Nothobranchius furzeri: one gene and its partner. The protein of the gene in region 1 purifies or fractionates together with the protein of each later gene. This does not show direct contact. Links are inferred from orthologs where the notes say so. Each region holds a gene or a part of one and is shown on either strand. Other genes may lie near its edges.

The links. Proteins that work in one complex are often made in the same cells at the same time.
Region 2: the proteins of wdr21 (region 1) and cops6 purify together in Homo sapiens (affinity purification with mass spectrometry; 4 studies listed by BioGRID and IntAct, counting the BioPlex papers as one, with this or other methods). This does not show direct contact. The link is inferred for Nothobranchius furzeri from reciprocal best matches to the Homo sapiens genes DCAF4 and COPS6.

Annotation. Positions count from the first base shown.
Region 1 is NC_091742.1:25,601,634-25,610,353, forward strand, and holds the start of wdr21 (WD repeat domain 21), read right to left. Parts: upstream 5,537-8,720; 5' UTR 5,370-5,536; coding exon 5,290-5,369; intron 5,209-5,289; coding exon 5,123-5,208; intron 4,887-5,122; coding exon 4,729-4,886; intron 4,590-4,728; coding exon 4,507-4,589; intron 3,367-4,506; coding exon 3,261-3,366; intron 3,141-3,260; coding exon 2,997-3,140; intron 600-2,996; coding exon 550-599; intron 398-549; coding exon 318-397; intron 190-317; coding exon 97-189; intron 16-96; coding exon 1-15. Other genes in the region: zinc finger protein DPF3, read left to right, coding at 6,751-6,782. UniProt on the Homo sapiens protein: May function as a substrate receptor for CUL4-DDB1 E3 ubiquitin-protein ligase complex.
Region 2 is NC_091741.1:79,987,571-79,991,773, reverse strand, and holds the start of cops6 (COP9 signalosome complex subunit 6), read left to right. Parts: upstream 1-1,403; 5' UTR 1,404-1,487; coding exon of another isoform or gene 1,488-1,588; exon of another isoform or gene 1,589-1,891; intron 1,892-1,967; 5' UTR 1,968-1,997; coding exon 1,998-2,040; intron 2,041-3,117; coding exon 3,118-3,243; intron 3,244-3,411; coding exon 3,412-3,543; intron 3,544-3,707; coding exon 3,708-3,796; intron 3,797-4,203. Other genes in the region: F-box/LRR-repeat protein 12, read right to left, coding at 1-772, 1,276-1,351, 1,488-1,588. UniProt on the Homo sapiens protein: Component of the COP9 signalosome complex (CSN), a complex involved in various cellular and developmental processes.

The DNA of each region.
Region 1 (8,720 bases):
CTCTGCGGGACAAGCCTACCAACACAAGCACGTCAACTAATCAGTAACCTGCAGGTCTGATCCATTTGCAAGAAACATGACAAGCTTGGTGCTCACCAGTGCTGAAGGTCTTATCAAACTGAGGATTGAGGCACCAAGCACAAGACCAGGCGGTGGATATTTTAAAGCTACACAGCATCCCGGGCTGATCTAAGGAGAGAAACAACAAGGGATCTACTCGTTTATTTCAATAAAACTGACTTTAAACATTAAAACCTATAAAGGTGACAACAAGCTGGTGTGATTTTCACAAAAAGAGCACAAGGGGTTTAACAGACCCTGATTAGAGTTGCTGAAGAGCGAAGCAGGCAGTAAACTAACGCAGCCGGGGGTGTCGGCCGCGCCAACCAGACACAACCTGATGACCGCTTCAGTGAAGGAAAAAACACAACAAACACAGAGAAGATGATCCAATCTGTTACATTTATAAAAACCAGAGAAGTCTGCCTCAGAGCAGAATAATCCAAATGAGAAATTTGAGTTTCAAATGCAGAACGGCTGCAAGGATACAAAACGTGAGAGTCGGGGTAGTTGACGGATGCCCAACAGATGGAGTTCACCTGAAACATATTTAATAATATTAATTAATATTAGGACAACCTATTAATCAAAGATAGAGCTGTTATTTTATGTATCAAGTAAAAAAAACACACATTTAACTAATCTTATGAACCCTTTTTCCACTGGGATTTGATGACAGGAAGTAAAACATGTATTTTTTCCACTTACAGTGATCCCTCGCTACTTTGCGGTTCGTTTATCGCGGATTCACGACTTCGCGGATTCTTTCTTTGGAGCCTTATTCAAGGGAAATTCGCCGATTCGCGGCATTTTTCTATGCGAAATATCAAGAAATTCCTGTTTTTTTTCATCAATTTCATCATAAAATACACTTTTTGTAATAAAACTATAAAAAAACCAAGTAAAATTTTTTTTTCTTGGGTTTTACCCACAAAACGAGAATGTGATAATACGATAATTCAATATAGTACTGTACTGTAAATATGGTGTCCCTACTTCGCAGATTTTCACCTATCGCGGCCAGGTCTGGAACGCATCTACCGCGATAAACGAGGGATCACCTGTATTTCTAATAGGCGCAGAGCTAAATGGATACGAGCAACATGACTGGAATAAGAAAGAGCAGACACTTCCTGTTGAATATGTTCAAAGCAAAGAGGAATTTTTTCAAAAATTTTCCGTTAAAAAACTTTACTTAAAATAAGAGAGAACTATTATGAAAGGGCAAAGTCTCAGACCCCCTCCCCCCCTCCCCCACAGGTTAGATCATGCTGTAGACATCTGGAAATAGGAATTCATCACCTAATATTAAAAAGATCTGTGCATTCCAATATAAAATGTAGAAGATAGCCATTACATAAAGATATACTGAATACATTTAAGAGAGGTAGTCTGGATTGACAAGCTAACGGCTAGTCGAGAGTGAGATTACGAAATGGGTTGTCGTCAATTTAGGACAACTCCCATGTCAAAAATTCAAATAAATTCATGAGAATGTTTCATTAAAATTTACACCGCCGTTAACGCAGCCGTCTGGAGTTTTACCCCTTTCAGGGATTATGAATGATTTTGTAGAAAAATCTAAAAGTGATTGTGACTGTGTTATAATGTAGGCAATACATCTATTTGTTGTTTGCTAAGCCCCCCCCCCCCCCCATCCCATAGAGGCCCATACAATTTGAATTTAGCGCTGCTCGGCATTAGCCAATAGATTTGCTATCGACATCTGCTCACGTACGGATGTCAATCACAGAGTGTGCGCAAGCATTTGCAGAAGTACGTAGACTGATGCAAAGTTGGCAACGTTACTTATCCCTCCCACTGGGTGACCCGGCGAGGAAAGCTAACCATTGAGCAGGACTGATGGGTTTATCCCTTGAGGTCCACGTGGCAGGGGTGACGTGGTGCTCACTCCTCACCCTTGCTAGAGGTGCTAGACGCATCACTTCCAGCCATAATAACGGAAGTCAGGGGAGAAGCATAAGGTGCAATACATTTTTCCACCTCTAGATGGCGCCTTCTGAAATAAAATCCCCCATTTCCGCTATAAACATTGGCTAATCTGGCAGAAAAGTTCCAATATTCCCCCAGGAAGTGCCCCGGGCTGCACCGGAGACAGCTTAGTGAAACTGATGATGCAAGTGTTCCGGTAACTCTTTACAATAATGGTCCCTTTACTGTTGTTACTTACAGGGATGCACCGATATGACGCTGGTATCGGTGCCGATACAGATACTGATACCAGTATCGGTAAAAGTTAACAGATACCAGTAAATAATACCAATGCAGTAGCTTGAAAGTGACTTCACTGTAACTTGTCATTTCTGTTCACCAAATATTTTAGTTTTGTGATCACTTATATTACTTTTTATCTACCTCACAGTCTTTTCCTATTGAAAACAGAAGAAAATAAAACCTGTATCCCAATTCATTGCGTTTTTTTTGTGTGGTAGAAGTATCTGCATCGGTAATCAGTATCGACGAGTACTCAGATCCAAGTATCGGTTTGGAAAAAAGTGGTATCGTTGCATCCCTAGTTACTTAGTGCATTATTAAGCATTAACAGAATAAAGATCCCTTTATTAACAATCTTGATATTGTTAACTATTACGTGTCCTTAAGGGTAGGACAAAGGGCCAGGGTGGGGTGTCTGCTTAGTAATTCATTACTTAAAATTAACATTAATATCAAGAAGCTGTTAATACTTAGTTTATTCATGCTTAATAATGAACTAAGTGACATTATTAAAGGGAGACTTATTGTGAAGTATTACTGGTGTTCCTTCTCCAGTTAATGATCAGCTCTGCCTGAGTTACATGTGAAAAGGAAATTTTTTTTTTTAAGTCCCTTTTTTATTCCATGACGGGTTTAAAAATAATAATAATAAAAAACACAGACGATGCTTTAAAATTCAAATACTGATGATATTCTCCCACCTTGCGGTTGGTGAAGTAGAGGTTATCGCACATTTCCACTGACAAAGAGCCCTGGCTGCTGCTGCTGAAGTTCATGATGCCGTACTTGCAGCCGCCATGAGAGACGTCGTTCACTGTGAACACTCGCTCACACGCCGAGTCTCCCTTAGAACAAAAGGAACATCAGGCAAATTTGAAAAAATTAAACAGAACATTTTAAAGCTAATTCTGATTGGGCAGAAGAGCAGAAAGAGGAGCCATCAGGGTGAAGTTGTGTGCTCTCACCACTATGAGCCTGAAGTTATCAGTGTTAGAGTCGTTGCTGCTGTCCGTGCTCTGAATCTCCAGTTTGTGTCGCCTCATCCCACTGACTTTCACCTCGTGGATGAGCCTGGAAGCAAATGGTAACCATAGTAACACCAAAATAGAAGCGCCTAAGGATCCATCCATTGTCCGAACCCGCGTTGTCCACGTAGGGCCGCGGGGGGGGCAGGTGCCTAGCTCCAGCGGTCAACAGGCAATCAGGCGGGGTACACCCTGGACAGAGAGTCAGTCCATCGCAGGGCAACACAGAGACACACAGGACAATCACACACACTCACACCTAAGGACAATTTGGACAGACCAATCAACCTAACAGTCATGTTATTGGACTGTGGGAGGAAGCCGGAGTACCCGGAGAGAACCCACGCATGCACAGGGAGAACATGCTAACTCCATGCAGAAAGATCGCAGGCCGGGAAGCGAACCCAGGACCTTCTTTCTGCAAGGCAACAGCTCTAACCACTGTGCAGCCCAAGCGCCTAAGGATATGAATGCAAAATGCATAAACATGATGACATTTTCATCTATTTACAGCTGAAGTCAAAAGTTGTTTTGAGTCATCATTAATGGCAAACCCCATTTTACACACACAGAACCGATGAGCTCTGGAGCTAGTCTTAGGCCTAGTCCACACGTAGCCGGGTTTCTTTAAAAACGAATATCCGCCCCTCCAAAAACTTGCATCCACACCACCTCGTTTAAAAAGAAAACTCTGTCCACACGTACCCGAATAAATACGTTGTTAAGGACATGCCAGACCTGTAGGCGGCAGTACTTCCCCCGTTCTTAACCTCGTCCTTCGTCTGTGGTCTTCCGCAAGGAGCAGTAATTCCGCTTGCAAAAGCAAACAAGCAAAAAGCGCTTGGACGATTGGTAAAGCGAGCGCAGCTCTGAGGGCTTCCATGCTGTCGGCTAGTGTAAACACAGGTCGCACACGTGATGTCAGCATTTTTTTGTCGCGGAAAGTGACGTTGCGGACCTTAAAACTCCGGTTTTGTCCGTCCACACGCAGACACCCAAAACGGAGAAAACGCAGATCTTCACTTTGGCCGGAGTTTTTAAAAAGATCCGTTTTCGTGTGGATGACAGGCCAAAATGTAGAAAAATATCTACGTTTTGGCAGATCCCCGGCTACGTGTGGACAGGGCCTAAGTTTCACTGGGTAGTTTACAGCTGTGGGGACAGAAGCACAGAAATGATCCACTACCTGGAATAGGACCTCTCAGGCAGAATCCCGAGATGTCTTTTCTGCAGCAGCAGAGAAGTGTTCAGTCCTGGTTTTGGTGATATCTGTTAAAAAAAAACACACACACACACATTCCTGATTAACTCTCTTCCCTGAAACCCATCCAGGATCCCAAAATATTATGAAATATTCTTTTAATTCTAGCAAGTAAAACAAATATGACAGATCTGAAACTGGATTTACTTTTCTAGGGTTCTCATCTTCTGCCAGCATCTTGTGTCTCTTTTTCTCTCGTTCTTTCTCTCGCAGCTGCTCCATGGTCAGTGGGTTGCAGTTGTTGTGTCCAGGCAGCAGACGGAAGTAGCGGTTCTTCTCCGGGTCAAAGTAGAAACCTGGCAGCTCTGGCAGAACAATAAAGAAGTGATCGTCTTCTTTTTAGGCTACAGACAGTGTATAACTGCTTCAATTACCCCAATTTTCTGAAAATGTCCTTCCTAGAAAAGGAAACGTCCCTTTAAACTTACAAAAATACAACTGTCTGCCTGCTTTAGTGTATTGGGTGGTGAGGTTTTAATGGTTGTGATTTTGTTATGATTAAACACAGGTGAGTGTCCCTGGAATGTAATCTAACACATACCAGGTGCTACACTGCTGGTAGATGAAGATGATGATGACGTACAGGTAGACGCTCTGTGTGATGGTCCAGCATCATTGAGTCCATACCTGTACACAGAACACAACAAAGCTACATAATTCCTGATAGCACACTTTCAGGAACACTATGGATGTTTATATTGTACACACTGTTCGTCGCCAGCAGATCTTTCACGGTCGTTTATGTACCGTCCGTAGCGACGACTTTGTGGCCAGTTTCGTTTCTTCATCCTTTTTTTTTCTTGGCTCCAACAGTGAAGGTTGTCACATCACGCTTTCTGTTCACGACGTGATTACTTGTTAGCTAAGTTAGCAACGTTAGCATTAGAGCTAGCGACACGTTTGCTAATGTAGCTGGACTTCAAAAACGTTGCATACAACAAAGGTTTAAAACAGCAAATTAATCCTAGTGACGATGAACAAACATAATTCAGAATAAAGTACTAATTATGACTTAATTTTTAAACTCTCTTGAGCTACTTGGTTTACGGTAATGCGGCATTCGATGTACCTCGGAAAAAGGAAAATGCTACTTGTACTGACGCGTTCAATGGGCAAGTCGTTCCGTGGGCAAAGTGAGACAAAACTGTTTGTACTTCAGGTTTAATATTTTACTTTATCAAAAGTCATCAAAGTATTTAAGGTTGCTCAATAATTAAGCAGACAAATATGAAAGAGCGAATGCTGACTTACCAACTGTTCACAAACGCAACGTCACGTCATTTTACATAGTCCCGCCTTTCGAACTTATCATTGGTAAATTTTTTCAACAACAATTTTCGGACGTAAGATACGTTCATTGGTTGCTGCATTTAAGATCATGTGGGACATTTGAATTTTCAATCAACAATAAACAAAAATCACTGAAAAGCCGAAACAATTATCAATACGGTAATTATAATTTTGATTTGTCATCCACCATGTTCTACTTTAATACGAAAATCCATATTAATCTGAAAAGTAAGAGAAAATAATATTGAAATTGTATAAATAATAGTTTTACTATATTGTTGCGCTTTTATTGATTTGAAAATAATCTTCAATTAAAGTAACTGAGCATTTATTTTTAACAGCTGAGCACAAGAAACAACTCTGAGCCCGTCACGTGGTTCCAAGAAACAATAATTGTGCGTTGAAGGCTACATTTAATTCCGGTGGACATTAAATGTAGCATACGCGTCCTCTACGAAATGATTAATGATGTTGAACATTAAAAACAAACAAATCACAGAAATTAATAACTTTGATCACGAACTTCGTGATTTATACCCATTGGTAGTATGTAATGTAAATTAGGACAAATAATGCTCAAATGTTCAAACAAAAAGATAAAAAATTGTAGAAATATTAAGAACATCTGGTAATGGCGTACAACTCATAAACTTTTAGACAGCTGTTTTATAACTAAATCTAATTATTTGAGTGGAATGATTCCAGTGCAGAGTATGTTGACATATTTCACTGAAGCCACGCCTCATGTGTTGATGCTTCTGTTGTATTAGAAAGAGCAGAGGACCGCATTGGCTGTCGTTTTTTCCTTTTTTCTTTTTTTTAAGAAGGGTCCCAAACTGCACACAGATTTGGAATATTGCATTACAGTTCTGCAGAAAGATGGCGACTGTCATTCATAATCCATTAAAATCGTAAGTGTATTTCTTTTATCCTTTTTTAAATCTTAGTCGAGCAGCTGCAGACACAACGGTTCCTTTTCCATGTGTTTTTTTAATGATAGGAATCATAAACGCAGCCTTTCATCTGCACTCGGACTGTCTGTTATAATCAGGTATCGCTGCGCGCTGTTGTGCAAAGATCCTCACATAAAAGCATGCACGTTGTAGAAAAAAAGCACACTCTTTAGACATCCAGTCTCGTTGTGCAGTTGGTTTCGCATATGAAGAAAGTTTCACGCAAAAAAGAAGCGACTGGTAAAAGTTTGCATCGGGGAATCCCTAATAGCGATGAAAATTTTGATGCAAATGACATCACAACTGGCGCGCGCACGGGCACTTATTTCAAATGCGTGCACAGTATACTCACAGGAGCAGATTAAAACACGGCCGTGCATGTAGAGGAAATCTGCACCAATATTAAACACATATTGTCAGAAAATGGCAACACAACCATATTGTATGATTTGGAAATCTATAAGTCTTAATTTGCTTTTTCTCCCCTCTAGAAAAGGTTGCCATGTGTCATGTGTCTCAGTGATAGCTCGTGTGTGTGTAAGAATTCTAGGTTTTGTTATAGGAACCGTAATCCAATTCTGCGCCACTTCTTTTAAAACCTTCAGCATGACCTTTCTGGGTAAATGTGTTCCAAATAATACACGTTGTTATCTAAAGCTCTTTGTTGGAAAAAAAGGGAAAAAATGCTTTAAGCTGTTGTTTTCCATCAAAACAGATTAGGATGTAGTGAGTGTACGCGTTAGCTTTTGTTTGCGGTTGTGCCTGTCAAGCAGGAGATTAACAGTGTCCCAGTATTCTCCTGTGGGTCTATCTGTTAAGAGAAAGGCACAAGTTAGGAGCTGATGAAGGAGTACGGATGGGGGTCCCCATCTGTTATTTGTGTGCATCAGATCTAATATTTGCAGAAAAAGATAAGCACTTTTTAAGTCAAAGTATTAAAATACATTTAGAATTGACTTTACATTTTTAAGGGGTATTTTAGCAACTTTAAAGTGTTTTTTTGTTATAAATATATCCGTCTTACTCAATGTAAAAGTCTTCCGAAACAATCTCAGTTTAGAGAAATTACATTCTTCAGGACTGATGTGAGGGTGGCTTGCCAACTCCGGGTCGGGAGAGAGGTCCTACCTCAAGTGGAGGAGTTTAAGTATCTCAGGGTCTTGTTCACGAGTGAGGGTAGGAGGGATCGGGAGATCGACAGGCGGATTGGTTCGGCGTCTGCAGTGATGCGGACGCTGAGCCGATCTGTCGTGGTGAAGAGGGAGCTGAGCCAGAAAGCCAGGCTCTCGATTTACCGGTCCATCTACGTCCCAATCCTCACCTATGGTCATGAGCTTTGGGTAATGACCGAAAGAACGAGATCGCGGATACAAGCGGCCGAAATGAGTTTCCTCCGTAGGGTGGCCGGGCTCAGCCTTAGAGATAGGGTGAGGAGCTCGGACATTCGGGAGGGACTCGGAGTAGAACCGCTGCTCCTCCGGATCGAAAGGAGTCAGTTGAGGTGGTTTGGGCATCTGGTCAGGATGCCTCCTGGACGCCTCCCTGGGGAGGTGTTTCGGGCATGTCCTGCCGGCAGGAGTTCCCCGGGTCGACCCAGGACACGTTGGAGAGGTTAAATCTCCAATCTGGTCCGGGAACGCCTTGGGGTCCTGCCGGAGGAGCTGGTGGAGGTGGCCGGGGAGAGGACGGTCTGGAGCTCCCTAGTTGGGATGCTGCCCCCGCAACCCGGACCTGGATAAGCAGAGGAAGACGATGACGACGAGGATGATGAATCGAGTGGCCCATGGTGGCGGTGAGGTTATGGGCAGGCATATGTTATGGAAAACAAGTACAGGTGCATTTTATTGATGGGATATTGAACACACAGCGATACCGTGATGAGATCCTGAAGCTCAA
Region 2 (4,203 bases), on another chromosome or scaffold:
GCACAATCTGCAACTCACTGAGCTTGCAGGCCCAAAGGCACAAATGCTTCAGGTCCTTCAGACGGCTGGCACAGAGCAAACCCGGCCCCACCTCCTTACCACCAAGACTCAGCTCCTCCAGTCCAATCCACCCTGCCCCTAGTCCAAGGGAGGCCATCTGTAACTGGTATCCTTGTCGTCCCGTAATTCCTATTTCAAGAAATTTCAGCCGTGAGAGCCCTTCTACCCCCGAGAGACCATCCTTGGCTGCACAATTTCGAAGCCCATTAGCTGTTATACGAAAAGTGTCACGCAACTCCAGTTGACTTAGCCTCTGCCACGATGTTAGACTCTGCAGATGCTGGTCTGTGAAAGAGGGCACATTGTTGAGGATTAACTTCTCAATACAAACTCCCAGAGGAGAGCCAAGCCCTGTTCCTTTCTGATCCCTTCCTTGATGAGGAGCACTAGAAGTGGCTTCTGCTTTGCCAGGGGGATGAGTGGCTGAATTAGAAGAGCTTTGGTTGAAAAAACCCCGAGGCAACTCACAACCACGCAGCTCCAGCACTCTCAAAGTTCGAGGGAAAACCAGGCAGTTAGGTAGACTTCTCAGGTCTGTATGCAGAAGGTAGAGCTTACTCAGACGGGGACATCTTGTGGACAAAGCTTTGAGCCAAGACTCAGAGAGAAAGGTGCCGCCTCGGGCTGACAGCAGCAAACCTCGCAAGCGAAGGCATCTTAGTCCACAACCAAGGTACTGACGCAGCAGGACCCAAAGGATGCGGGATGTCACCTGACACAGTGGATAGTGTGTGTGTGTGTGTGTGTGTGTGTGTGTGTGTGTGTGTGTGTGTGTGTGTGTGTGTGTGTGATGGGGAAAAGGAGAAAATAACTGTTAATAACTATGCAAACAAACACATTTTTCTTTAGGTTAAAATACACACGTATCACTGACTGGTTCATTATGGGTAAATAAGTTGATTTTATTCATGAGAAAGTTCCTCTTTTACTTTGGTGTTGCATCTAAAACCATCAAGTGACTTTACAAACGCAAAACTTTGTGTTTACCGTTTCTGTACATATTTATGAAAAAGCGTATAATTTAGTCATTCAGACAAAACATTAAAAATAACTTCCTTCTGACACAGGTGTTACTGGAACAGATATTTTATGTCTAAAACCTAATGCAACATTGTTTGTAACTCGCAGGTGTTACTTTATTGTGATTATTTTCATAAAGAATAAACATCAGATAAATAAAACGTTAAAGCCACACAGTGTGCTGACAATTCTTACCCCCTTCCATGAGGTCAAGTCGACAGTTTTCCACAGTCTTTGGTCTTTAACAAGGCGTTTCCATCTTTTGCACACCCTAAAAAAAAGAGGAAAACAATGGCAGCAACACAGAGCAAACTCACTTACACCACCGGATGAGTCATAACAAAGAAAAAGCCTGGCGCTGAGTTTTTGGCATACAAGCAAAATTTCAGCTGGAATACAGGTCTTACCTTCCAGCTCTGACAAGCTCTTTGACGCTCAGGTATGACAAAACATCTATCAAAATGTTCTCGGGAAAGTAGTCCAGATTACAGGCTTTAAATTCGTCCATTTCGTTAAAAAAAAAAAAAAAAAACTCGTAAAGCTTCCACACGGACTAATATCCTGACGCACACGGGTTGCGCCCAAATCAGTAATCCCCAGGAAACGGCTACTCGTTGACTGTATGATGCTGTATGACCTAGACGTTGGATTAAAGAACATACAATATTATAAATTCCTTCGGATAGTTGTGTCTCCGTCGATATTTTCTTTCTTTTGATAACACTTGACAAATTTCTGACAAAGGTCGAGCTCCACACCTTGTTTTGAAACAGCCTGAAATGCAGTTTGTTGCCACCTAACGTTCGTTAGCTGAACAGCCCTCCTGCGCCTGCGCGTTGAATAGATGTTGCACCGAATTGTGTGACCATGGTATATTGTGACTCCAGGAGGCGCTGTTGCCTCACACACCGGACAAGATGGCGACCAGCGATGGTGGAGGAATGGAAGTGGATGGGGCAGGCGAGTATTTATTTCTTATTTCACCATTTAAGTCTGACATCAGCATAGATGGATGTACGATTCCCTTACATGCTGTACAGTTTGGGTGTGAATGACCCCAAGTTAAGACTTAGTGTCATTAAAGGCTGCTGCTGACATAAGTGGGTTAACGTGCACTGCTCAGTCTGTAGTCATGACTCTGGATGTTACCGTCGCTCCTTTTCTGTTCTTTGACTGGAGTCTGGATGACTTGTGTGAATATAAATTTATATACACTAATTGTTTTTTGAAAATACTATTTTATGTATTCTGTTCAAATTACAGCACAGCATATTAGAGGAGCACACGAGGGACGTTGTGTACACCTGATTTCCATTGCTCTGTCACGTCATTTTGGCAAAAACAAACTACAGTTCAGTTGCTTCCCTTATTTTCGCCCACCTATGGCTTCACTACTAAGTTTATTTCAATTCGGCTTTGTTATTTCTGTGTGATGATGCAAACCTAACTCTAACCAGTTATATTTATCCTGGCTGCTGCCTAGCTTGGCCAGGTCTCCCTTGAAAAAGAGGTTGTTAATCTCAGTGGGATCTTCTTGGTTCAATAAATACATCAAACATTGGCCATATAAACAAAAACATCTGCTTGTTTATTGTTGTTTGTCTGGGTTGGTATCTGGGTATGATATTGCTGTGGTTAATGTGATTGACACTTTCTCAGCATCTAAAAAAAACTGATTCACCCATAGTGCTGCAGCAGTTAGCGCCATACCACAGAGACAACTCTTTAAAAGGAGAATTGAGAGCATTACATTTAATTAGTCCAATTTCTGATTTAGTGGAGACATCCTTCAGCTGATTATCTGATAAATGAGACATACGAGGGATTCTTTGGGATCTGCCTTATTGGAGTTAAAATATTATTTTTATACATAATAAAACTTCAAATATTTGCTGTTTGTTAAAATGCAACCTCCTTTTTCCCAAAACCAGTCATTTGTTTTACAGTTTTTGTTTGTTTTCGAGTAAAGAGCTTTATGTTACATGTTGCTGGTGTCCAGTTAAAGCTTATTTTACATCTGTGTCCACGTGTCTGTAGTGGGCCCTAGTGTCATGGCCTCGGGAGTCACCGGGAGCGTTTCTGTGGCCTTGCACCCTCTGGTCATCCTCAACATATCAGACCACTGGATACGCATCCGCTCCCAGGAAGGGCGACCGATGCAGGGTATGTGTCTCTTTCTCACCTGTTTGTTCTTAAAGAAAAAAAAACTGCTTCCAGGGAGAAACAAACCCTGCAGTTATCAAAGCTTTGACTTAGATTCTCTGTAATTAAAATGCAGTAACGTTTAATGCCATAATAATAAGTGTTGTTCATCATGTGTTCTCCTTTCAGTGATCGGGGCTCTGATCGGAAAACAGGAGGGTAGAAACATCGAGGTGATGAACTCCTTTGAACTTATGTCTCACACCATAGATGACAAAGTGCACATTGACAAGGAGTACTACTACACCAAGGAGGAACAGTGTAAGCATGTTTAAACATAACACGTTTGACAGGTGTAAAGTGTTCTTATGGGGTGATTTTAATAAGACAATAATGAAATGTGTTCAGTTTTAAACTTTGTAAATCAAGTTCCTCTTCTTTTTTTTTTTTTCAAAATGATTGTTAACTTTCATTTTGTCTTTCAGTTAAACAGGTCTTCAAAGAAATGGAGTTTTTGGGCTGGTACACCACAGGTGGCCCCCCCGACCAGTCAGACATCCACATTCACAAACAGGTAGAAACACTCTGACGTCCGTGTGATCTTAGCTGGAAGGAGATAAAAGACAAAGTTAAAAAATGACCATAAAAGCAAACATGACCTCGTTCAGCAGTGTGAAACTTTATTTTTTCCAAAAATTGTCTTAAAATCCTTCAAATTGTGGCTTGAGTTATGTTCAGTTCTATTCAGTTTATCTATATAGCAAAAAATCATGACATGAGTTGTCTCTCAAGCCCACACTGTAAACATTTCAATAATAATAATAATACATTTTATTTCAAGCGCCTTTCAAAGCTCTCAAGGTCACTGTACAAGACAAAATATAACAAGCAAGCAATACAAACAACAAGAAATAAATGCTAAGAGTAATTCCCAAGGGTAGAGTCGGAGCAGTGCAATGGATAATAGACTAAAAAGAGTAG